Oryzias latipes: one gene and its partners. Each later gene encodes a partner of the first gene's protein in a complex. Links are inferred from orthologs where the notes say so. Each region holds a gene or a part of one and is shown on either strand. Other genes may lie near its edges.

What was found.
Region 2: taf1a (region 1) and znrd1 share a complex: the UniProt entries of both Homo sapiens proteins name them as parts of the pol I pre-initiation complex. The link is inferred for Oryzias latipes from reciprocal best matches to the Homo sapiens genes TAF1A and POLR1H.
Region 3: taf1a (region 1) and taf1b share a complex: the UniProt entries of both Homo sapiens proteins name them as parts of the transcription factor SL1/TIF-IB complex. The link is inferred for Oryzias latipes from reciprocal best matches to the Homo sapiens genes TAF1A and TAF1B.
Region 4: taf1a (region 1) and rrn3 share a complex: the UniProt entries of both Homo sapiens proteins name them as parts of the pol I pre-initiation complex. The link is inferred for Oryzias latipes from reciprocal best matches to the Homo sapiens genes TAF1A and RRN3.
Region 5: taf1a (region 1) and tbp share a complex: the UniProt entries of both Homo sapiens proteins name them as parts of the transcription factor SL1/TIF-IB complex. The link is inferred for Oryzias latipes from reciprocal best matches to the Homo sapiens genes TAF1A and TBP.
Region 6: taf1a (region 1) and polr2h share a complex: the UniProt entries of both Homo sapiens proteins name them as parts of the pol I pre-initiation complex. The link is inferred for Oryzias latipes from reciprocal best matches to the Homo sapiens genes TAF1A and POLR2H.

What each region holds. Positions count from the first base shown.
Region 1 is NC_019882.2:5,957,613-5,961,732, forward strand, and holds the start of taf1a (TATA box-binding protein-associated factor RNA polymerase I subunit A), read left to right. Parts: upstream 1-1,320; 5' UTR 1,321-1,562; intron 1,563-3,174; 5' UTR 3,175-3,202; coding exon 3,203-3,341; intron 3,342-3,640; coding exon 3,641-3,804; intron 3,805-3,876; coding exon 3,877-3,990; intron 3,991-4,071; coding exon 4,072-4,120. Other genes in the region: mia3 (transport and Golgi organization protein 1 homolog), read right to left, coding at 234-357. UniProt on the Homo sapiens protein: Component of the transcription factor SL1/TIF-IB complex, which is involved in the assembly of the PIC (pre-initiation complex) during RNA polymerase I-dependent transcription.
Region 2 is NC_019869.2:21,549,312-21,553,127, forward strand, and holds znrd1 (DNA-directed RNA polymerase I subunit RPA12), read left to right. Parts: upstream 1-1,256; 5' UTR 1,257-1,378; exon of another isoform or gene 1,379-1,518; 5' UTR 1,519-1,529; coding exon 1,530-1,647; intron 1,648-2,321; coding exon 2,322-2,425; intron 2,426-2,506; coding exon 2,507-2,616; intron 2,617-2,689; coding exon 2,690-2,714; 3' UTR 2,715-3,316; downstream 3,317-3,816. UniProt on the Homo sapiens protein: Core component of RNA polymerase I (Pol I), a DNA-dependent RNA polymerase which synthesizes ribosomal RNA precursors using the four ribonucleoside triphosphates as substrates. Can mediate Pol I proofreading of the nascent RNA transcript.
Region 3 is NC_019882.2:22,300,544-22,303,398, reverse strand, and holds part of taf1b (TATA box-binding protein-associated factor RNA polymerase I subunit B), read left to right. Parts: intron 1-194; coding exon 195-292; intron 293-365; coding exon 366-458; intron 459-706; coding exon 707-812; intron 813-1,690; coding exon 1,691-1,844; intron 1,845-1,911; coding exon 1,912-2,011; intron 2,012-2,093; coding exon 2,094-2,241; intron 2,242-2,317; coding exon 2,318-2,492; intron 2,493-2,575; coding exon 2,576-2,613; intron 2,614-2,684; coding exon 2,685-2,772; intron 2,773-2,855. UniProt on the Homo sapiens protein: Component of RNA polymerase I core factor complex that acts as a GTF2B/TFIIB-like factor and plays a key role in multiple steps during transcription initiation such as pre-initiation complex (PIC) assembly and postpolymerase recruitment events in polymerase I (Pol I) transcription.
Region 4 is NC_019866.2:25,533,914-25,537,413, forward strand, and holds part of rrn3 (RNA polymerase I-specific transcription initiation factor RRN3), read right to left. Parts: intron 3,155-3,500; coding exon 3,071-3,154; intron 2,983-3,070; coding exon 2,859-2,982; intron 1,115-2,858; coding exon 984-1,114; intron 1-983. UniProt on the Homo sapiens protein: Required for efficient transcription initiation by RNA polymerase I (Pol I). Required for the formation of the competent pre-initiation complex (PIC).
Region 5 is NC_019861.2:24,478,921-24,481,722, reverse strand, and holds the end of tbp (TATA-box-binding protein), read left to right. Parts: intron 1-7; coding exon 8-175; intron 176-652; coding exon 653-747; intron 748-978; coding exon 979-1,058; 3' UTR 1,059-2,302; downstream 2,303-2,802. UniProt on the Homo sapiens protein: The TFIID basal transcription factor complex plays a major role in the initiation of RNA polymerase II (Pol II)-dependent transcription.
Region 6 is NC_019862.2:11,777,284-11,781,312, forward strand, and holds the start of polr2h (DNA-directed RNA polymerases I, II, and III subunit RPABC3), read left to right. Parts: upstream 1-1,229; 5' UTR 1,230-1,380; intron 1,381-1,527; exon of another isoform or gene 1,528-1,718; intron 1,719-2,422; 5' UTR 2,423-2,443; coding exon 2,444-2,516; intron 2,517-2,894; coding exon 2,895-2,978; intron 2,979-3,247; coding exon 3,248-3,341; intron 3,342-3,443; coding exon 3,444-3,527; intron 3,528-3,680; coding exon 3,681-3,798; 3' UTR 3,799-4,029. Other genes in the region: lisH domain-containing protein ARMC9, read right to left, coding at 25-150, 290-364. UniProt on the Homo sapiens protein: DNA-dependent RNA polymerase catalyzes the transcription of DNA into RNA using the four ribonucleoside triphosphates as substrates.

The DNA of each region.
Region 1 (4,120 bases):
CCGGGCAGTTTGGCCCTGCTATTCCCCCGTTTAGCTGAGGTTAGCATCGACTACCCCGCTGTATCTGAGCATCCTTCCACCATAACAAGACCAGAGTCAAGGTCGCGAGTATCGACGGGCAACAGGTCAAGAGATAAGCCGTGGTTTATGGCTAGCTCCCGTATCAGGATCAACGGAAGGGAACGCCGCATCCATGAAGCCGCGTCCCTCCCCAGCTCTGCAGGCAAACTTACTGCTGCACTCCTCGTCTGCGCATCTTTTAAAGTCAGAGAATCTCCTCTCCAAGGCTGCAGTTGGTATTAAATAAAATAAAACTAATAATAAAAAGCCTAGACGGTAAAAATGTTTTGCTGCCATGTTGGCAGTTAGTGTAGCCGGACTTGACTCCGCCGCCGCCGGAGCATGAGCAGTGGGACGCAGGAGCTGACACGTCAGCAGTTAAGATCCGGCTGGGTGGAGGCCCGGACGGGTTCGCATCGATGGATGAGGCGGATTCAGGTACCTGAGAATCAGCCTCAGGTCCACACCAGAATAAACACGAAGACTGGAAAGCACGACCTCATTCTCTAATGTGTTTGTGTGTGTGGCCACATTCAAATTACTCACTTAGCTCCAATAACAAACCACTGAACATTATTTTCTGAGCAAAAGTAACGCAATTACGAGGAAATAGTAAAATAACTCACTGAAAAACATTGTAGAAGACTTCCTTATATTGAAAGTAAAGATAAATAATTACTACTAGGTTTAAAAAATGACATGGTTAAAAATAAGCTTCATACCGTGACATTGTAAAAATATCAACTCAAAATAATTTTTACGTGTTCTATTAATATTAGTTTTATTTATTTTTTTTTAGAAAACTTACATGTATATGTTTCTTCAATTTCAAAATAATAAAAATTTCAGTAAAACAAAACATTGACTAAAATAAAAAATAGGTTTTGAGAGAATAAATAAATCTTGCTAACACTGTAGCTTTCTTACTTTGTGATTTAAAATGCATTTTTTGCTCTTAGCACAAGTAGTGGATACATTTACAAATACTGTCAACAAGTACACACTACTGTATTTCCGAAGAGAGAAGAGGGAAAAAGAGATCGAAGCCCATTTACTTCTTCAAAAAAAATATTTGGCAAATCTTTTTGCAGTAGTTACAATTTTGGCTCTTTCTTTGCCTTATATTTTAGTAAGTAGTTTATTATTATTGATTAAGTAAGGAACTCTGAGACCGTGAAAAGTCACGTGGAGGAAACCCCCTGCTCCGCCCCGCCTCCTTGGGTTGATTCAGCCAATAGCAAGACAGATTCACAATCTACTTCCTGAGCTGCACCGGAAGTGTGGTGGCTACAAACATCTCACATGTGTAGCAAGAATTACGTTTTTTTTTGTTATTTAAATCAGAAATATCAATTTAGTGCCAAGCATACTCTTTTATTTAGACACCATTTAGGTAAAACCTATTTCCGTAAGATAAGACCTTAATTTCATCCTAATTTGACGCTTATTTTCGAGTAGGGTAACTTCAACACAGTGAGCCTCAGTGGGGCTAGTCTGGCCAGGTAAGCAAATCAAATGTCAGCTACTAGTTCAGGGCTCGACATAGCCATTTGTCCGCTGGCCCGGTCCTGTTTTTCGAGCAGTGCGGACCACAAGACTTTACTTTTCACTTGTCCGCTCGGGCCACTAAAATATCTAACTGTTTATATATTCTTCACCTTTTTCAATAAAGTAAATTTTGCGAAAACGTGTAGATTTACCTCGTCTTCATAATTTAGTTTTTCTGCTAGTCCTGTGTTCAGACTTCAAAGGTTTCTATGGGAAACCTTTGATCACTTCTCCTTCTCTCCCGCCTGCGCGCGCGCGGCTTTCACTGCGGAGCACCACGCGGCACGCGCTCACTACTTTTTTTTTCAAACTTTATTGAATGTAACAATTCAATACAAAACAATGTTAAACAGCAACAACGAAGGCACAAGCCAGTGGGTTATTATTACATTTGATTATAAATCCGACACCGTCACTGAAGAGAGACTGAAGCATGTCAGAGATGTGGAAGACATGGCAGGAATAGATAGGAATATGTTAGATGGAGTAATGGGTGGAATTAGTACTATGGACAGCAAGATATTTAATGAATGCATTGAAGATGAAACTGTATGCACTAAGCTTTAAGCTGAATGTCAAAGAATCAAAGGCAACTCCAAATACCTGAATCTCAGACTCAAATGCAGTAGAATGTTAAACTACTTAATTTTACTTAAAGTAGAAATACTTACTGTAAGCAGTAAGTATTTCTAGTTAGCTGAATGATCTCAGTTAGACCTGCACAATATGAGGAAAACTCGCGATATGCGATATCAGAGATTAAAATTGCGATAACGATATAATTTGCGGTATATAAACAAACAGAAAAATAACCAAATAACCATTCCCAGTTTAAAAATTATACTCCAAATGACCCACGTTGACATAGGTTACAAACATCTAACATAACAGGGCTCCATCTGATTGGTCAACAATGTGAAGGCGTCCATCCGATTGGTCAAATGCATTAAGGGATTTACTTGATTCGTTAAATGGTTCAAGCTGCCATTAGATTGTTTTAACACATTTAAGGTTTATGATTTATTGTGATATTTGCCGTTAGAAGCACCATGAAAACTTCTGAACTAGTGTTACCTACTACACTGCAGTGCTCTCTTCAAAACATCTGAAACAGACTAGAGCAGATTTAAGTTTGATATGGTCTATTTTCAGTCATTGAAAAGTGTAGAAATAAGTGATGTCACCAGAATGCACCAAATTGCACCATATTAAAAGTTTCCGGGGGGGCATGCCCCCGGACCCCCCTAAAGTTGCAAGCACCTGCGGAGCGGCGGGTCCCGCTATGCGCGGTGTCGGGCCAGTAACTTTCAGGCAGGGCCAGTAAGTTTCAAAAACTACTGGCCCTGTGGGCCAGTGCAAATTTCTGGGCTATGTCAACCCCTGTAGTTATGATTGTGTTGTACACCTAAAAATCTGCAGACAGTTGGTCATAAGTGACACGTTATTTAGTTCTAGAAGAGCATCTTTGTGATTTTTAAAATGTTCATAAAACAGAAAAATTGTAATGTCAAAGGACCTGTTTGCTACTTTTTGCTTTACTGTCTCTCATTGTTTTTCTCCTCGTAGGTTGAAGAGCCATAACTTTTAGCCAAACATGGACGACCTGGAGAAAGAACTGAACCCTCGTGAAGACATGGAGAATGATGATGATGATGCTGATGACTCCTGTGACAACAGCTCTAGAAAAGAAGGAAGCTCATTCAAGTTAGATTTGATCCAACCAATTTGTCAAAGTAAGACACACTTTATATTCCATAAAAGTGCGTTTTCCCCTCTAATTCTCTTTAAAAAAATATGGGTTTATGAGCATATGTCAGATAACACCATACAGATTGTCATTAAAACGGTATTTTTTAAGTAAACATCTTCAGAAATCACTGAAAAGATTATACTTATCATGAAAACATATGTCATCTACATTTTATTGCAATAATAAACAAACCCTAATTGGCTGAATTATTCTACATTAGCCAAAAAATGATATTTTTGTTTGGAACTCATTAATTTGTAAGTTTTACTTAAATAATTTCAGAGACTCTGCACGAAAATGGATTTCACCAGAGCGTCAGACTGTGCCTGGAGTACATCAGAGAAGCCATGCTTCATCACAGGTGGCTGGAGGCAGCAGAGTACATGGCCAGCTATGCACAAATATTAGAGGACAGAGTTAATCTCACAGCACAGCAATACAAAGAGGCAAGTTTGCTTTTGCGTCTTCACCAAATGTGTGTATCTTAAAAAGAAGGTAAATTTAATATCTTCTTGTAGCTTGTTTGGAGAATCAGCACTGAGATCCTTCACCATCATCCCAAATCTACGATGGATGACTACAATGTCATATATGAACGGATGAAGCATTCAGGATTTAAACATTATCTAAAGGTGTGTTAAAACGAGCCCTTGTCCTCTTTTGAACATAATTTTTCCTCTAAATTCTGCAATTTTCTTCTTCTTTTTTTTTAGATTTCTCTGGAACATTCATTCCACTTAATGCTTCATGGTCAGATAGAAG
Region 2 (3,816 bases), on another chromosome or scaffold:
TGAAGAGTTTTGAAATGGATTAGCTGCAGATTTGGACTTTTGGTCAGTTTAAAGGTGTTTAGACAAAGTTCTGACCAGAAGCTTTAATCTGTGCTGATGCTCAAATCCGCATCCCATTTTGTTGTCGGAAGTGAAATATTATTATCTAAATTACATAAAAGTTTGTATATTTTGGAGAGAGTTTTTTTCATTGAGAAATTAATCAGAGTGGTAACTACGTCTGGTAGCTTGAAATCGTTGTCTCTGTATTTAAACTTTTTAGTAATAATTGATTTAAGTTGCTGATATTCCAAGAAGTTATTTATTCCATGTTTGTCTTGAAGTTCCTGGGGAGTTATGAATCTACTATCAATAATTATGTGCTCTAGTTGTTTTATGCCCCCTGCTTGCCAATTTATGTCGATTTAAATAGGCAAGCAGGTTGTTTTTATTTTATCAGGTTGTAATTTATTTTTAAAAACCTTGTTTAAATCTAATTTTGTCTTGAGGCTGTGGGCAAAGATATAAATACGGATTAATTGCCTTGTGTGTGAAACTGGAGGCTCAATTTTTTACAGATCGGAATTTAATTACAATTATTTGAGAGGAAACTGCAAAAAACTACATGTAGATATGCAATTGTGGCCAGAAGTACAAACAGGATTTACCAGGAAAAGCATTAATTCCTAGGAAAAATAAAGGAGGCTATTCAATTAAATTGTTGCCAGCTTGAATACTTAAATGCAAAAGCTCCCAGGTGAACTGATAATTCCTAAATTTGCTAAACATCTGAAATTATTAGAAAAACTCAATAATGAACAATGCCACAAATGCAATATTACAAGATAATACTGCTGTGAGAAATAACAAAAAAACAACTAAATATGTTGAGCAACCAAAGGAATTTGATGCAAGCTAAGTGCTTAATTTGCTAAATACATTTTAAAATTATTTTTTTTAAAATAATGGATTTAAAAAGACAGAAAAACCATCAAACATTTGCGAGAAAGGAAACAAAATGACATTTATTAATTCGATTTTTGGCTAACTGAAACATTAGAGGTGAAAATATCTGGATTAAAACACACTTATAAAGTTACAGTAGTCTAAAACCTTCATATAACTTACAACAGTAGTAAGTGATGAATTTATAAGAGTCAACTACGAATAAATAAGGTCTTTTGAGTTGTAAAACGTTGGAACATCCTTAAAATTTAGGGTCAAATGAAGGAAAACTACAATGGTGTCATTCACATTTCTGTCCACTACGAGGCGCTCGTGTTTACGTGACATTACCATCTTCTAGTTAACATGAAGAAGAAGAGCGCACAACAACACCCAATGCGGGCGAGGAGAAAGTAAATTATTGTCTGTTTTTGTGCAAACAGCCATCGATCAGGTAATTATCCTCAAATCACTCCTCCGAGAGCCCGCGCGCGCCCACCCACGTGCCTGCAAGTTAGCATGATGTGTTAGCTATCTGTCTGTCGGACTGTTGTTGTGTCACGTGCTCTGAACATAGCCGCCGCGCTTCCTCAGAACCAGAGCAAATGTCTTCAAACGGCCGCGACCCCAACTTCTGTCAGGATTGTGGCAGCGTCCTGCCGTTGCCAGGACTGTCCGACACGGTGCGCTGCCCTCGCTGCTGTCTCTGCACGCCCGTGACAGGTAAGCGGTCCACGCCGCCATGAGAGTCTGCCTGCTCTGCTGCTGGTTCATGTCCCTCAAGAACCGAATGGCTTTTAAGCACCAAGAGTACAGTCAAAACTACCGGTTTACTGAAAATGAGGCACTCAGTCTGACATTTCCCTCCATTTTTTATTTGTTTTTGATCAGCAACTACCTTTAAGTTCACATTATGTGTAAGTTCTTCCTTGATTTTTTAGTTTCTCTGATTTGACTGCCCTCCTTTCTTAATGACTAGTATGCTTTAACAAGAATGGGAAATAAAAAGCAACCACCTAAAACTGCTCAAATGAAACATTTCAGACAAATCAATTTAGCATATGATCAACATCAGTCATTGAATTTCTTCCTCAGCCGGTCTGTGGAGCAGTGATGAGACAGTAACCTCTGCTGGGCTCACTCCTCCTCCCTGGGAAGGCCTCATATTGGGGTTGGAGATCCACTGGCAGCTCATACATGTGTCCTTTACCACGTGACACTATCACAGGTCATGGGAAGGATGTTGAGGATTCAGAAGAACTCTGTTGCTGAAAGTTACTCTTAATGCTTTCATGAAATTATTTGAGCCAGTCTGCACTGACAAAAGGGTTCTCCTGATGTCTCTCTAACAGGTCTAATCTGTCCAATCCTCTAACTGTGCTGCTTTTGCTCTGCAGAGTTCTTGGGAAGAGAAATTCAGTCTGGGGTTATCTTCAACCCCGCTGAGCAGACCTTGCTGGCTCTGGAGGATGAGGAGAACTCAGAGCTGAAGGGCCCTGTGGTAAAAGCAGCCGTCCGCTCAGCAGTGGAGCGTTCGTTGTCGCGGTAACGCCTCACGGTTTGCTTCTTGCCTTGCTTGCAGATTGACCGACGCTGCACTCGCTGCAATAAGGAAGGCATGATCTACCACACTAGGCAGATGAGATCTGCAGATGAAGGACAGACGGTCTTCTTCACCTGCATCCACTGCAGGTAGGTGGCGTCAGCGTGACCCTCCTGTCCTGCTGTACGGTTCTGGAGCTGACCGGTCTTTGTCTTGTTTCAGGTTCCAGGAAAAGGAGGACTCCTGAGAAAAGCTTTTGCTTACTATCTGATCACAATCACCTCAACTCTGGTTCTGTTTTGATCCAGGGAGCTGCTTTTTTGTAGTGATGAGCTGTTTCTGTTTGTTAAACTGAACTTGTGCATGTTCTGGTGCACGTGTTGGTCCTCTCCACCTTTGTCACACATGACACTGGTCAGTTCATCGGGACTCTACAAGAAAAAAAACAGGAATCGATGTCTCAGATTTAAACTGCAGCCACGGAGGCTCAGGACAATCAGGTATACATTTTACACAAGTCAACTAAAGTGAAGGAGCAGGACAGCAACTCAGCAAACTAACCAGAAACAATAAAACTGTATCAGCTGTTTATATTTATTTTTCCTGAAGCATACCCTGATTCTCAACTGGACAGCTGTTAGTACTTGCGCGCATTTTCTCAGAAAATGATCTCTTTATAGTTTGATTAATTTCTTTAAAACTCTTGTCAAAGACCAGAAAACTGTCATCCTATGTTTTTATAAAGTATTCTACCAAATTTGAACTGTTGTATCCAGTAAGGCTTCAACTTACATCTCACATGGCTGTTAAATTGTTCTTTAAATGATAAAGAACGCTCTTGGTATCTGACATGTTCTTTTTGTTGATTTATTGAAGCAGAATGGTAAACGGCGTATACTTATTTAGCCCCTTAACTATCTTCTTGGAGCATTTTACAGTCACAGTTCCATTCACCCATGAACACACACACTGATTGTGGCTCAGCTACCAAACCATGTTGCCAACCTATAACCCCCAGAAGCAAGGTGGGGTTCAGTGTCTTAACCTTGGACACATGGGCGGGTAGGGTGGGAATTAAACCTGCAACCTCTTGATCAGGGGTTGACCGCTCTACTTCTGCACCACAACTGCCCTGTTAAGTTGCCAGCAGCATTTAGAAAAAAACAGTTCAACCTCCTTGGTCTAGTTTGGTCCTCCTGGGCCTCAGTAGCTCTCCATCATACCTATACCCCCCCCCCCCCCCCAATCTCTCTCTAAAGCCTTTTTAATAACTGCCCCCCTCATCTATTATCCACAGGAGATGCACAAGCAGGCAAGCTATTTGGCATAAAAGTAAACTCTTACAAAAA
Region 3 (2,855 bases), about 16 Mb from region 1:
CTCCAGCATCCTCTGATCTTCAGGCTCCTCCATGAATCCTTGTTGCTTCTAAACTCTGGAACTCTCATTCAGACATTTGCTTCGTTTCCAGTTTTAGATCTTTGAAAATGCTTTTGGGTTCCTCTCAGTTTGATGGCAGTGCCCATCTGAAACGTTTGTGTTTCTTTGTCTCACACGTGTTCTGTGTCGTTCAGGTGGCCGTCACACATGGATGGTCTGTGAAGGTTTCCAGTTCATCCTGATGAACCAGGCGGATGCCCTGCTTAGGCTGGGAGTCCATCCTCACTTCAAGGTCTGAATCTGTCCGTATTGATCTGCCATCGATGCCTGAGCCCGTCTGATCAGTGTGTGGCTCGCCGCTTTAGGACGGCGTGCTGCGTCAGCTGTGGAGGCTCTACTTGCAGAAGAGCCGGCAGGCTTACTGCGTCAACCGAGTTAGGAGCGCCAAGTTCAGAGTGGTCAGTTTCAGTCTGTGACTCACCTTCCTTTGAAAATCTGTGCTGAGATAATCATATACATGATTTCAATGAGTACTAACACGGATGTTTATTTATTCATATGCTCTCCATGCTTTTTCATAACTGGAGGGATATCAGTTTAGTCTGAATTTTTAGATCCACTCAAATGCAGGAACAAACATAAATGTCTTCAGAGGAAGAGTGATGATGACTGCAGCAGCCTTCTGTTCTGTCCCCCCCCCCCCCAGGGAGACGCAGACTCGGATTCAGACAGCGCAGCCGAGGCGTCTGTGGCATCAGCCAGCGGGACGGATGGAGAGTCAAATCCCTGCAGCAGCCCCAGCTCTAAAGGAGGTATGTTTGACTCCCCCAGCAGGAGCAGCTGGGGTCAGCCATGAAGTCTTTGGTCACTGGACTATGGAGACGCCAGACCTCAGATCTCTGCCGTCTGGGGGACTACAGGGGGGTCTGACTTTGAAATGAGTGAATTATTATTATTATCTAATTATTGAATTAGACTACTGACAGAAAGTTGGAGATATTACTAATAACTAAAAATTAATGAGAAAAAAACATTTTCATTAGGTTAATATTACCCCTAAAATGAGGACAATAATAAAAATAGCCCCAAATAACAGAAATGTCAATAGTGGGTATTTGCAGCATTTGCATCAACAGCAGCTTGACAGTGACGTCTCCTCACCAACCTCATGGTGTTGGTCTGAACCAATCTTCCATAAGTGCTGCATGTAGTTCTGCAGCTCACTTGGGGGTGGGATACCATCATCCAGTCTGCTTCAGCTGGTCCCAGACGTTCTCTATGGGTTTCAGGTCAAGGGTCATTGCTGGTCATACCACATGAGCTACTCCCACTTCCTGAAGTCCTGCTGTGACAGTACTGGTACCATGTGATAGGGTGTAATCATCCATGAACAGAAAGCTGGGGGTGTTCTGGTGGAATTGGGGGATGAGAATGGTTCTATGATGTCTCTGAGGTTAGAACATTCAGTGACTGGGTCATTTACAATAACCAAATCAGTTTGACCCTGACTGGTGATACCTGTCCAGACTGTTACACCTCCTTCCCCAAAGCCAACCCTGAGGACCTTTGACCTCGGCGTATCGCTCACCACGTCTCTGTGTATATCACATCCACTGAGTTTGTTGTTTTTTTCACAATATCCATGACGTATTGTGAGTATTGTATGTTGAAATGTAGCCTAATCCCTCAGGCAGTGACTGGTCTGGATCAGCGGACAGCCTCTGTTACCTGACTCCCCGTCAGAGGCGGAGCCATAGACTCCTGAGCCTGAAGAAGACTCTGGCCCTGATCCACTTGGCCTTGGTCTGGAGCCGGGAGGCGCTGACTCTCAGCGACCTGCTTGGGTAATCTGCTCCTCCAAACCAGGCGTTGGACTGCTGGATGTTGGGCTGATCCTGTGTTTGCTCTCAGACTGGTGAACTGTGGAAGCGTCCCGTATGTGAAGGCCCATGAGCAGCTCCCAGAGCAGATGAAGCTGTTCGGCAAAGATGCTCTTCTGTTTACTGCAGAGGTAACGACCTGGAGTGAGTGAGCTGCTGACCTCTGCCCTGTGTTCTCCTGTTTGTTGACGATGTGGTGAACTGTCTCTGCAGACGGTACCGTCTCACCGCTCGCTGCATAAGGAGGCTCAGGATCTGCTTCTGTTCCTGCAACTTCCAGCGTTTCCTCCCATCAGCCAGCAGACTCTGCTCCACCCGGGGCCACTGAGCCTGCGCTACCTGATCGATGCAAACCTGCCCGGTAACAGCTTCCTCCGTCCCAGCTGACAGACAGACATGCATGCTGCGCGGGCTGAGCGGCTCCTTCCTGTCTGCAGGTGAGCTGCACAGGTGGGTCTGCAGAGTGGCGGAGCTCGCAGGTTTGTTCCATGAAAGCCGCCAGACGTTCCACCCCGAGTCCCAGCCCACCCTGCCCCGGTACGACCTGCAGGCGGCAGCGCTCATTATCGTCACCATGAAGCTCCTCTTTGGCCTGGACGACCACACCGAATGGTAACCCCCCCTGCCCTGCCCTCCCCACCCCCCTACATCCATTCCACAGACAGGTCGTCTCACTGCGGTTCTCCTGGTTTCAGGGAGCTGTCCAACAACGCCAGGTCCACAGACGGAGAGGGTCCGTGAGTGCCCCCTGTGTGTGAGTCCTCTTGGTGGGGGCTCTTCAAGCTCATGCTTTCTCTCTGACAGGGGCCCAGTTTAACCTGCGAAGGTGGTACAAACTGATGCAGACCGCTCTGAACCGAGCTCAGCAGAGGAGGGACCAGGACACAGCCAGGTGAGGTTGTTCCTCGGTTCCAGTTTGTCGGACTCCTGCAGATCCTTCAGGTCACTTCTGGCAATATTTTTAAATCTGACTTT
Region 4 (3,500 bases), on another chromosome or scaffold:
CGTACAAACACACAAACACACACAAACACGCACGAACACACCCACACACGCACACACACACGTACATATGCACCTGTACACACACGTACAAACACGCACACACAAACACACACACAAACACGCACGAACACACACACAGGCACACACCTACACACACACACACACAAACAAGCACGCACACACCCACACATGTACACACACACCTGCACACACGCACCTATACACACACGTACAGACACGCACACACAAACACACGCCCACAAACACACACACAAACACGCACGAACACACACACAGGCACACACCCACACACGCACGCACACACCTACACATGCACCTGTACACACACGTACAAACACGCACACACAAACACACGCAAACAAACAAACACGCACGAACACACACACAGGCACACACCTACACACACACACACACACAAACAAGCACGCACACAACCACACATGTACACACACGACCACACACGTACAAACTCACACACACACATACACACACATGCACGCACACAAACACACGTGCACAGTGGTTCTGCTGCCAGACACTGGCACCAACTGGGAGTTCAGTGTTTAACTCAAGGACACTTTGACACTTGGGCAGGTAAGGCACAAAACACACTTGGGACATTCCAATTAGGTATCAGCTGCTGTCCCTCTGCGTCTGCCCCCCACCCCCCACATAATACAATAAAACTAAGACAAATGCTCAGAATGTTTGGAGAATCACATCAGTGATCCGTAAGTTTGAGACCAAAGACTCAATCTGAAGCCTTAAATGCAGCATCCCTACCTGGGATGAGGGGGGTTGGTTAAGATATGGGAGGGGTCTTGTAAAATGAAAAAACTATTGATCATCCCTCATACTCCTACATCATTAAATAGAATCAATTACCTTAGGCACTGCGTGAAAATCGACTGGCTGGTTAGTTTTTTGAACCGTGTTTTTTATCCAGTGTGAGAACAACTGACCAGTCTGAAGCTGCAGAGGTAGAAGAGGGTGAACTGCACATGTGAGGAAGCATGTGTGGGCAGGATGAGCTTGTCAAAGATGCTCAGGAGATCTCGGAACAGCTCCTTGGACCGCTCAGCATGGAAAGAGCCTGCACAGACGACAGGCACGGTGTGGATGCACACGTTTCTGTGGCTGGACCAACACATTCTAGCACAAACACCGTTACACAAGTCCAGCAATGAGACACAAAGAAACGTACTGCGTTAACATTTGATGCAGGTGGCTGAGTCTAACGGCAGTGGATGAAGGACTACACTGCACTGTGGATATCTGCTGCAGAGTCGAGACGTTTCTCTCAGAAGTGACATTTATAAGTGTTCTTTGTGTGAGGGGTCATGTGTGTTCATGGAGGGGAGTGGGTTGTCTTTTTATGTAATATTGTGTTTGTTTTTAAATGTAAAGCACTGAGGCATGAGAAGCACCCTTTTATAAAGTTTGATTTGATTTGATTTGCTGAAGCATCCAAACTGATAGCAGCTTTAAGCTTTGGTCACATGCACGTGTACGGGGGGGGGGGGGTTGATCCGAACGGGCGCTGCAGGTTTTTGGGTTGTCTGGGTCCATGGAGGGTCATTGAGAGGAACCAGTGCAGGAGTGTCCTACACTCCCCTTGAGGCGTGCACGGTCACCTCAGTGTTGTATGTGTGCTACGTGTATCATAGAGAACATCTACGGCTAATGGAAACTTGGAACACACGGGTGATGCTGTGGTACAGTGTCCTTACACCACACTCTAGTCGTCTGAAAGGTCAGAGTTCTGGCTCACCGAATGCAAATGCTGCACACACTGGCGTGCACGTGATACACAAGTGCCCGTCCGTCGGATGTTCACACAAAGTACACCGTCTAATTTCCTCATTTCCAACAGCCAGGATGTGGTAAGGAGCGCCGACTTGAAGACGTCAACCAGTCATCGGTGAACCGTGAACAGAGGACGTGAAGCAGCAGGCCGATCTATCATTGATCAGTGTGACTGTTTCCTCCTGTTGTGTGTCTGTTGTGTGTCTGACCTCTCAGGGAAACAGCTCAGTTGTTTCTCCTTTGTGTTTGCTGGAGGTCAAATGGAGCCGTTTCTTATTCTGGTGGAACATGTAGCTGTTAGCTAGGCCTACTGACGATTAACAGTCACATTCTCCCCAAACTATTTTGACCTTCGGCTTAATAAAACGTATTTCCATCTTAGTTTGACCTTATGAGACACGCTTCAGTGCTGAGGATGTCCCTTCACTTTTGTTTCAACTTTTCACAGAGATCAGTCGTTTAAATGATGTTAATTGATATGAAAACTTTGGTTGAAAAACCCTCACGAAAGTCCTGCTGAACCTGTTCCTCTCTGGAGGTTTCAAATGAACATCAGTGATCAGCCTTATAGACCACTAATCATCAGGAACGGCCCTGGGGGGAGAAATGATAAACCCTCGGTCTGTCCCAGTTTCCCTCTGGGGGGGTTTAGGAGCTGTATTCCATAAGGACCGTTGTGAGTAAGGCATTACTTTGTCTAAGGCCAACGGTGAAGAGAACAAGCAGGCAGAGCAGCAGCTCAGGGGGAATAGGGTTGATGCCGCTGATGTTCCCACATGAATCCTCTGCCTCCATCTAGTCTTCTCCTCTTCTTCACTCACACATCCATCCTCCTTAACAGCCTTCACAAATGTCCTGTGGTCTTCCTCTAGGCTCTTCCCCTGTCCAAACGTCTTCCCTGCACTGATCTCCAGAACCTCCACCATGATCTGTTCCTCTGAAGGATTTCTTCCTTCCACTTTACTCCTTTACACCTCTGAAGTAAAAGTCTTTAGCTAGAGCAGCATCCTTTCTAGATGTGATCTGCCTACCGTTAACGTGGCAGACGTCTTTGATGTAGGCCATCAGTACGGTCATCAGGGCGTCCAGCCTCTCTCCTACCGGGTGGACCGTCACCTTCATCGCCGGTGTTTGTTCCGCCGGGACGTCTTCATCCTGATGGGAAGGAGTTTTTGTTGAAGCAAAGATGTGGAGAACATCCTGACCAGAGATCCGTCTAATGTCAAACGGTTCACAGCGTTACCATGTCGAAGAGCGTCTCCTGGTCTGTGCTCTGCTCCTGAACGCCCTCCTCTGCTCCCTCCAGGTCTGCACGGGAGACACTCACCTGCAACACAGTTGTTAAGGTTAATTAGAACTATTGAGTCTATATGAGAACTGGACAGTGACTCCTCCCCCCTGGCGTTCCAAAAAGGGAGTGGCTCCAAGAAGCTGAAATGCCATGGACTCCTATAGAAACAGCTGTTCCTCAGTCATTCTGTTGATCAGAAGAACCGTTCCTGATCTGATTCTCAACATCTCCTAGACAATCCTCTGTTTTTTCATCATATTTTGTGTGAAGTTCTAGTTATTTCATTTATTAACTGACCAATCAGACGCCTCAGGAAAAGCATGTGGTCTCACATTTGACAGATTCTCCTGAGCCTGCTTTCGATGGAAGGGGTGTGGTCTTC
Region 5 (2,802 bases), on another chromosome or scaffold:
TTTGTAGTGAGGAACAGTCCAGGTTAGCAGCTAGAAAATATGCCCGTGTGGTGCAAAAGCTCGGTTTTCCTGCAAAGTTTTTGGACTTCAAGATTCAAAACATGGTGGGCAGTTGTGATGTCAAGTTTCCCATTCGTCTGGAAGGACTGGTCCTCACACATCAGCAGTTCAGCAGGTAATTTCTCCTTGTTTTACTGCAGATTTAAAGAATCCGTATAAAAATCCCTGAAAGGCTTTTCAAAAATGTGACAGTTTAATCGACTATTGACAGTTATTGATAAGAAAATATGTTGGGACAGCTGTGCTGACACACATGCCAACTTAGGTATTAAACATATATGTTTAACATAAAAGAAAATATTAAGTAAAAAAATAAATCTGAATGGATGACAAATGATATAAATGTACTGAACAAGCACCACAATGATATGTATGCATCAGATTTTATTAATGCTCCAAAACCATCCATTTTTTAAACTGGTTTCCTGCAGTGTCTGTAAATCTGATAAGCAGGTCAGAATTGAACAAAATCCTAAACCACAATCTGACTCACAGACAGAAGTTTGACACTCAGATGGCAAACTATATATTTTTTTTTTATTCTCCTGGTTTTATTTTGCTTTTCTAAAATGAGGTAATATTTGTATTGCAGCTATGAGCCGGAGCTTTTTCCAGGCCTGATTTACAGAATGATCAAACCTAGAATTGTGCTGCTTATCTTTGTTTCTGGGAAGGTGGTACTCACAGGTAAGTTTTCACTAGACTTTTTTGTTTCCTATTGTGAGTAAAACAGGATGTTAACTGTATGTACTTATTGTTTACACTTTTATTTAGCATTTTTCTATTTTTTCTTTGTTCTCCGTGAAGTATTTAGAATTTTGTTGATGTAAAATTGAAGTTCCAAAACAGATTTTTAAATTCTTTTTGATGAGCTTTACCTTCTGTTTTTTAACTTATTGTATTTATTTCTATTTTTAGGTGCCAAGGTGAGAGCAGAAATCTATGAAGCTTTTGAAAACATTTATCCCATCCTGAAAGGATTCCGCAAGACTACGTAGAACTTATAATTCCCTGTTTTCTATCCAAACGCTATAACTTTTTACATTTCTGTCTATTTTTTCTTTAATATTCACTGAGATGTTAACATTTTAATATTGACCTCTTCAAGTTGACAGTAAAGACTTGAATGTGAAAGACTATTTGTCTTTCCCTTAATTTTTTTTTTAACCAAAAAGACATTTTAAAGGTCCTCTGCTCGTTTCCTCATCACAATTGATCTTCACCCGGAACTTTACCTGCTTTTAGCTTTTACATTTTCTTCTCTTCCTCGCTGGCAAGTTTTCTTACATCGAATTGTACGAAAATGTAAAAAGTATTGAAGAAAAAGGCAGGTAGACCGGGACTTTTCCTGGTTTTATTTCAGTGTTTCAGGTTTTGTATATATTGCAAACTGATTTTTTTCTATCTTTACTCGATTTATGAATGATTTCTCCTTATTTTTTGGGTCAACCCCTTGTAAACAATCTTGCCACAAAATCGATTAACTTTTCAAATTTCAAATTAAACTGAAGCCATACTTGTCCCCAGGTTACAGTGAAAGCCCTCATTTTATAACGAATAGAAACCATTTCAATAATTGAGTTATCCGATCCAGACTGTAGTTTGTTCTGCAATAATTTGCCTTTACCAGTCAAAGTCACCCCATGTTTCCATCATTGCTTGAAGCTTTTTATTTTTTATGAAGAAACTGAGCATAATTGTGATATCAGATGTGCTTTATTGTAAAACTTGTACAAATGTATATAACTTATTTTCAATTATTAGTCATTCAAAGTTGATAGGATGTTCCAAAAAGCTTAAAGCAAACAGGAAACTTGGAAAAATGATGTTAACAGGCATTCAAAACAATAATGTTCATTAGTCTGTCTTCAATTTAAATGCACCAAGACAAAGGAGTTTGTTTTTTTCTATAAATCTCTGCAGAGAGTGAGTTAACAGTGTAAATGCTCCTGCTTGTCCTGGTTTTTTTTCTTTCTTTCTTTTTGCAAAACTTTGTTTAGAAAAGTACTTATCACTTTTTGATTTGAGTTTCTGGCACTTGTTGATTTCATTTTCTCGTTAACCAACCTAAGGATTACCTTTCAGAAGCCAAACTTTTAAAATAAGTTTCAACTTAACGTCTGTTCCACTTATTATGGATGTTGTCACCAGAAATCCATTTTCCATTTGGATACCTGTTCCTCCACAACTGTTAGAGCTGTACTGTGCGTTAATAAACGTGTTCATACATCCTGTTCATAAAGCAGAGTTTTGTCTTTGTAACATCTGAGGTTTTTTTTACTTTAAGCAGTGTGTTTGCCACAGACTCATTTATTTATCTGAAACTATCTGGAGGAAATTTTTTGAAGTAAAAAAAACCCCTTCAATTTCTTCAAGTCTAGAAAAGAAACTTGAATCGGTCACATTGGGTGGAAACCTATAGAGTTCATAGGTCATCAGATCCATGACATTCAGTAGTTTTTATACAGTTTTCTGTAAGTATTGTTAAATTGAACACTTTGAAATTTGAGTAACATGGTGGTTCAACAGCACAATATGTAAGGTAAAAGAACCAATGGTTTTCTCTTAGTTCTATTTATAAGCAGTAAAACAGCTGCTGTTATTGGAGATGCATCTGAATGAACGGCCCAAACTGGTCTGTAGTGGCACATGACTTGTATTGGCTAATAAGGTCACGTTTAAAGTTTACTCGGTTGAAGTTGTCATTTCGTGAATTTGAAGATGTTTCCAAACTTTTCCGTT
Region 6 (4,029 bases), on another chromosome or scaffold:
TATCTTATGAAACGTATAATTTACCTGAATGACACGAGTCTTTGAGTCTCTGAGAGCGTTTCCTCGAGGCTTGGAGACAAGTTTGCCTTTGCTTTTACATTCTTTGTCAAAAATTTGAACCGTTTCTTCAAATTCCCCAAACTTCAGGTACTAAAGAGAACAAACACAAAGTGTGTTAATTATACAATCACCATCGTGGAATACATTGAAATGTTAGATCAACTATCAGAATAAACAGATTATGGATTTTAATTGCAGTTTTTTTCTTCACATCCCTATCATGCTTTACCTCTTTAATCATCCCAAGGAGATCGGCTTCAGTTGCCAAGATGTCTCCCATCTTGGCTGTCTTAGTTGAACTCATCCGTGGACCACAGCTGTCAAAATACCGGCCGTCATTTGGGGCTCAGTTTGAAATTCCTTTGCACTTACAAAAAACAGGTAACAGTCTGAACAGACAGAATAGCACAGACAGGCAAAAAGAAAAAGAAAAAAATACTTCAATAATTTCACGTTTTAATGTAAAGATGACCAGTCTTGCTTATTCGAACAAGAGCAAATAATTACAACCTGTATTAACTTGTACGGTTTCAGTTTTCTTTCCGAATTATTATTTGTTTGTTCCAACCGAGGTTACTGTAGTTGTATTCAATTCAATTACATTGTATTTATAGCCCAATATTTACAGCAATAGTCATCTCAATGGGCTTCATTCCGGTAATTGTGTAATAAACATGAATCATAAAGAACATAAAGTCATAGAATTCAATAGCTGATTGCTAAACTAAACAGAAGAAACTAAGTGGACATCCCTGCCCTAAAACTAAGACCATCCTAATGTTACTACTATGATCAAAAAAAAATTATTTTCATCTTTGTATGCATTTTATAGCGGAAAACACGTTAACTATAACGGCAGAGATTTGAAGAGCTGCAAACTGCAGGAAGCTAGTCAATAATTGTTTCAGTCAGGTTTGTTCACATGATGAGCGTTCCTTACCTCGTTTGACCATCTTTTCTTGGTAAGAATCCGCATTAGAAGTTTCATTAAATATTTTATTTATGCTTAAAATGTATATTGGTAATTATTTTTTCGATATAATGACGCTTATGGTAAAAACAACAGCCTTAACATTAGCTAGCAACCGTCCACACAGAGGACGCTAAACGCACCTAGCAACAAGATGACGACAGACGGAAGTTAGTAAAAACTGTCGTAAAATTAGTTCAGTTGTTGGTTACTTAAATTATCAGTTAAATAATTGAGAGAAAACAAATACTTTTATAAAAATCTTTTTTTTATTTGCTACGTAAAATTTAGCCAAAATATTATTCGTTTTTTCCCCATCTTTGACCTATTGTGAGCCTTCAAATAAAACGGTAGGCAAATTTAATTGGTGTTATTTTAGTGATCATTTTTTCTACATTACACCATCGCAACGCATTTTTCCCTTTCTAAAAAATGTATAACATTCAGTAAAGCAAAACATGCGTCTTTCTTTTAAAAGAAAAAAAGAGACAAAAAAACGGAAGTTCTTGTTATGTCAAAGGTCGAACACGCTGGTTCTGCGCGGTACCGACTATTTCGCTTAATAATGAATGAAAATCTATCTAAATCAAATATCTGACGTCTAGGTTACATTATTATCGTTTTTACACGAATTCACCACATTCCAGGGCATACTATTTACACAAAAATACAAGAACAGCACTTGGGGGTAAGTATTATATTTTGTGTGGACAACATGATGCTACAGTTAGCGCGTAAGTGAACATTGTTAAAGTTGTCCAAAGTTGTGACAAGTTTTGTTCACCCACTTTGACACGGTGGGAGAGCTTTGTGATTTCCATTTGTTTTGACCTATTCCTTTTTCTTTTTAACTTGTTTTTAATTAATTATAGTCAAGATCGGGACCAGAACGCTTAGGAGTGACCAGGTTAGACAGGATAAGGAACGAGTACATCAGAGGGACGGCCCATGTTGCCTGTGTTAGCGACAAAGTCAGAGAAGCCAGAATGAGATGGTTTGGACATGTTCAGAGGAGGGATAGTGGATATATTGGTAGAACTAGAAGGATGTTGGAGATGGAGCTGCCTGGCAGGAGGCCAAGAGGACGGTCAAAGAGGAGATATATGGATGTCTTAACAGAGGACATGAAGTTGGCTAATGTTAGGGTAGAAGATGTTCATGATAGAGTGAGGTGGAAAAGGATGATTCGCTGTGGCGACCCCTGATGGGAAAAGCCGAAAGAGAAAGAAAGAAGAAAGAAGAGTCATAGGAATTTCACACTGAAACTGTGAAAAACACAATATAGCACTCACTGCTATAGTGTGTTTTTCTTGATTGACTTGGCTACGTAAAATGCTTTGCTGTGTGACTAACCTTCCCTTTTAATTTTGTTTTATGATGAATCTGTTTTAGGTTTAACAGAAAGGGATAAAGATGGCTGGGATTTTGTTTGAAGATATTTTTGATGTGAAAGACATTGATCCAGATGGCAAGAAATTTGACAGAGGTATGTGGACTGTCACTGTAAAAACACAAAAACGATCTTCACCAGTAGATAGTTTCAGTTGTAAAAGTCATAATTACAATTGTATATTGCATTTTTGTTCATATTGTGTTAAGTGTGACTAAAAAATTGTGTTGTCAGTAATTACAGCTTTTATTTTATTATTTTATTACAGCTAAACATTACAGTCATCACATTACTGAGTTGGGAAACCTTCAATCCTGCTTTTTAGTAGCTTTAAAACTAACACAATAACAAACATAATCATTATATGCATTTGCTTGAAAAAGATGGATATCTAAAAGCGCGTTAGTCAGTTTCATAATGTTTTCAGTTCTCTTTAATATAAACTAATACAGGTTATTATTACTTATACTGCAGTGTCTCGTCTGCATTGTGAAAGTGAATCTTTCAAGATGGACCTGATCTTGGATGTAAATACTCAGATTTATCCTGTTGATCTTGGTAAGAAATTAACAATGTCCTTTATTGTTTATGTCTTGTTTGATCTTAGACATTTGGCCTTTGTGGAGGAATTTTTAAATTGATTATTGGTAGTATTTAGTGAAACTGTCATTCTTCACTCTTGTAAGGTGTTGGTGCAGAATTGATAAGTTATTTTAACTCAGTTTTGACTCAATGTAAAACTATTGTATTAGAAGTGTAGCTTGATCTTAGGTGATTATGTACATTGCTATGATAAATCCAGATTTTTTTTTGCATGTTTCAAAAAGGGGACAAGTTCAGACTGGTGATTGCCAGTACATTATATGAAGATGGAACGCCAGATGATGGAGAGTACAATCCCCAGGATGATCGACCATCTAGGCAAGGCATTTAAAGAAGATAAATGAACATCCATGTCTTTCAATCTGTGGCAGATAATGTGTGATGCTTTTGATTCATCTTCCATTTTTAAATTGTTTCTAGGGCAGCTCAGTTTGACTATGTAATGTATGGAAAGGTCTACAAGATAGAAGGCGATGAGACCTCAACAGAAGCAGCCACGCGTCTGTAAGTTCTACACAAATGCATGTAGATCATTACAATCCTTTATTTAAGTTAAAAGTCAAGTGCTGTCAATTTAGTGATTAGTAAAAATTTAAATAAACTGTATGTATGTGTAAATGTTGATCAAGTCCTCTAATGATGTGCTTGTTCTTTCAGCTCAGCCTATGTGTCTTATGGAGGCCTTCTCATGAGGCTGCAGGGAGATGCCAACAATCTACACGGCTTTGAGGTAGACTCCAGAGTCTATCTCCTCATGAAGAAGCTGGCCTTTTAACCCCCCTCCTCTGTTTTCTACCGCCTTCATCCACCTTTGTAAAACTGGGATCTAGAAAAGTGGAACATATGAACATCTTAGAGACAAAACACCATGTTTTTGTAAACCTCTGTTGTATTTTTTATAGTTCCTCCAACAAACTACACTGAGGTCTGTGATTTCCACTTGGTGGTACACTGTAAATAAATATTTCTTTCTTTTATACAAAACAATTACAAGTGTTGATTAACT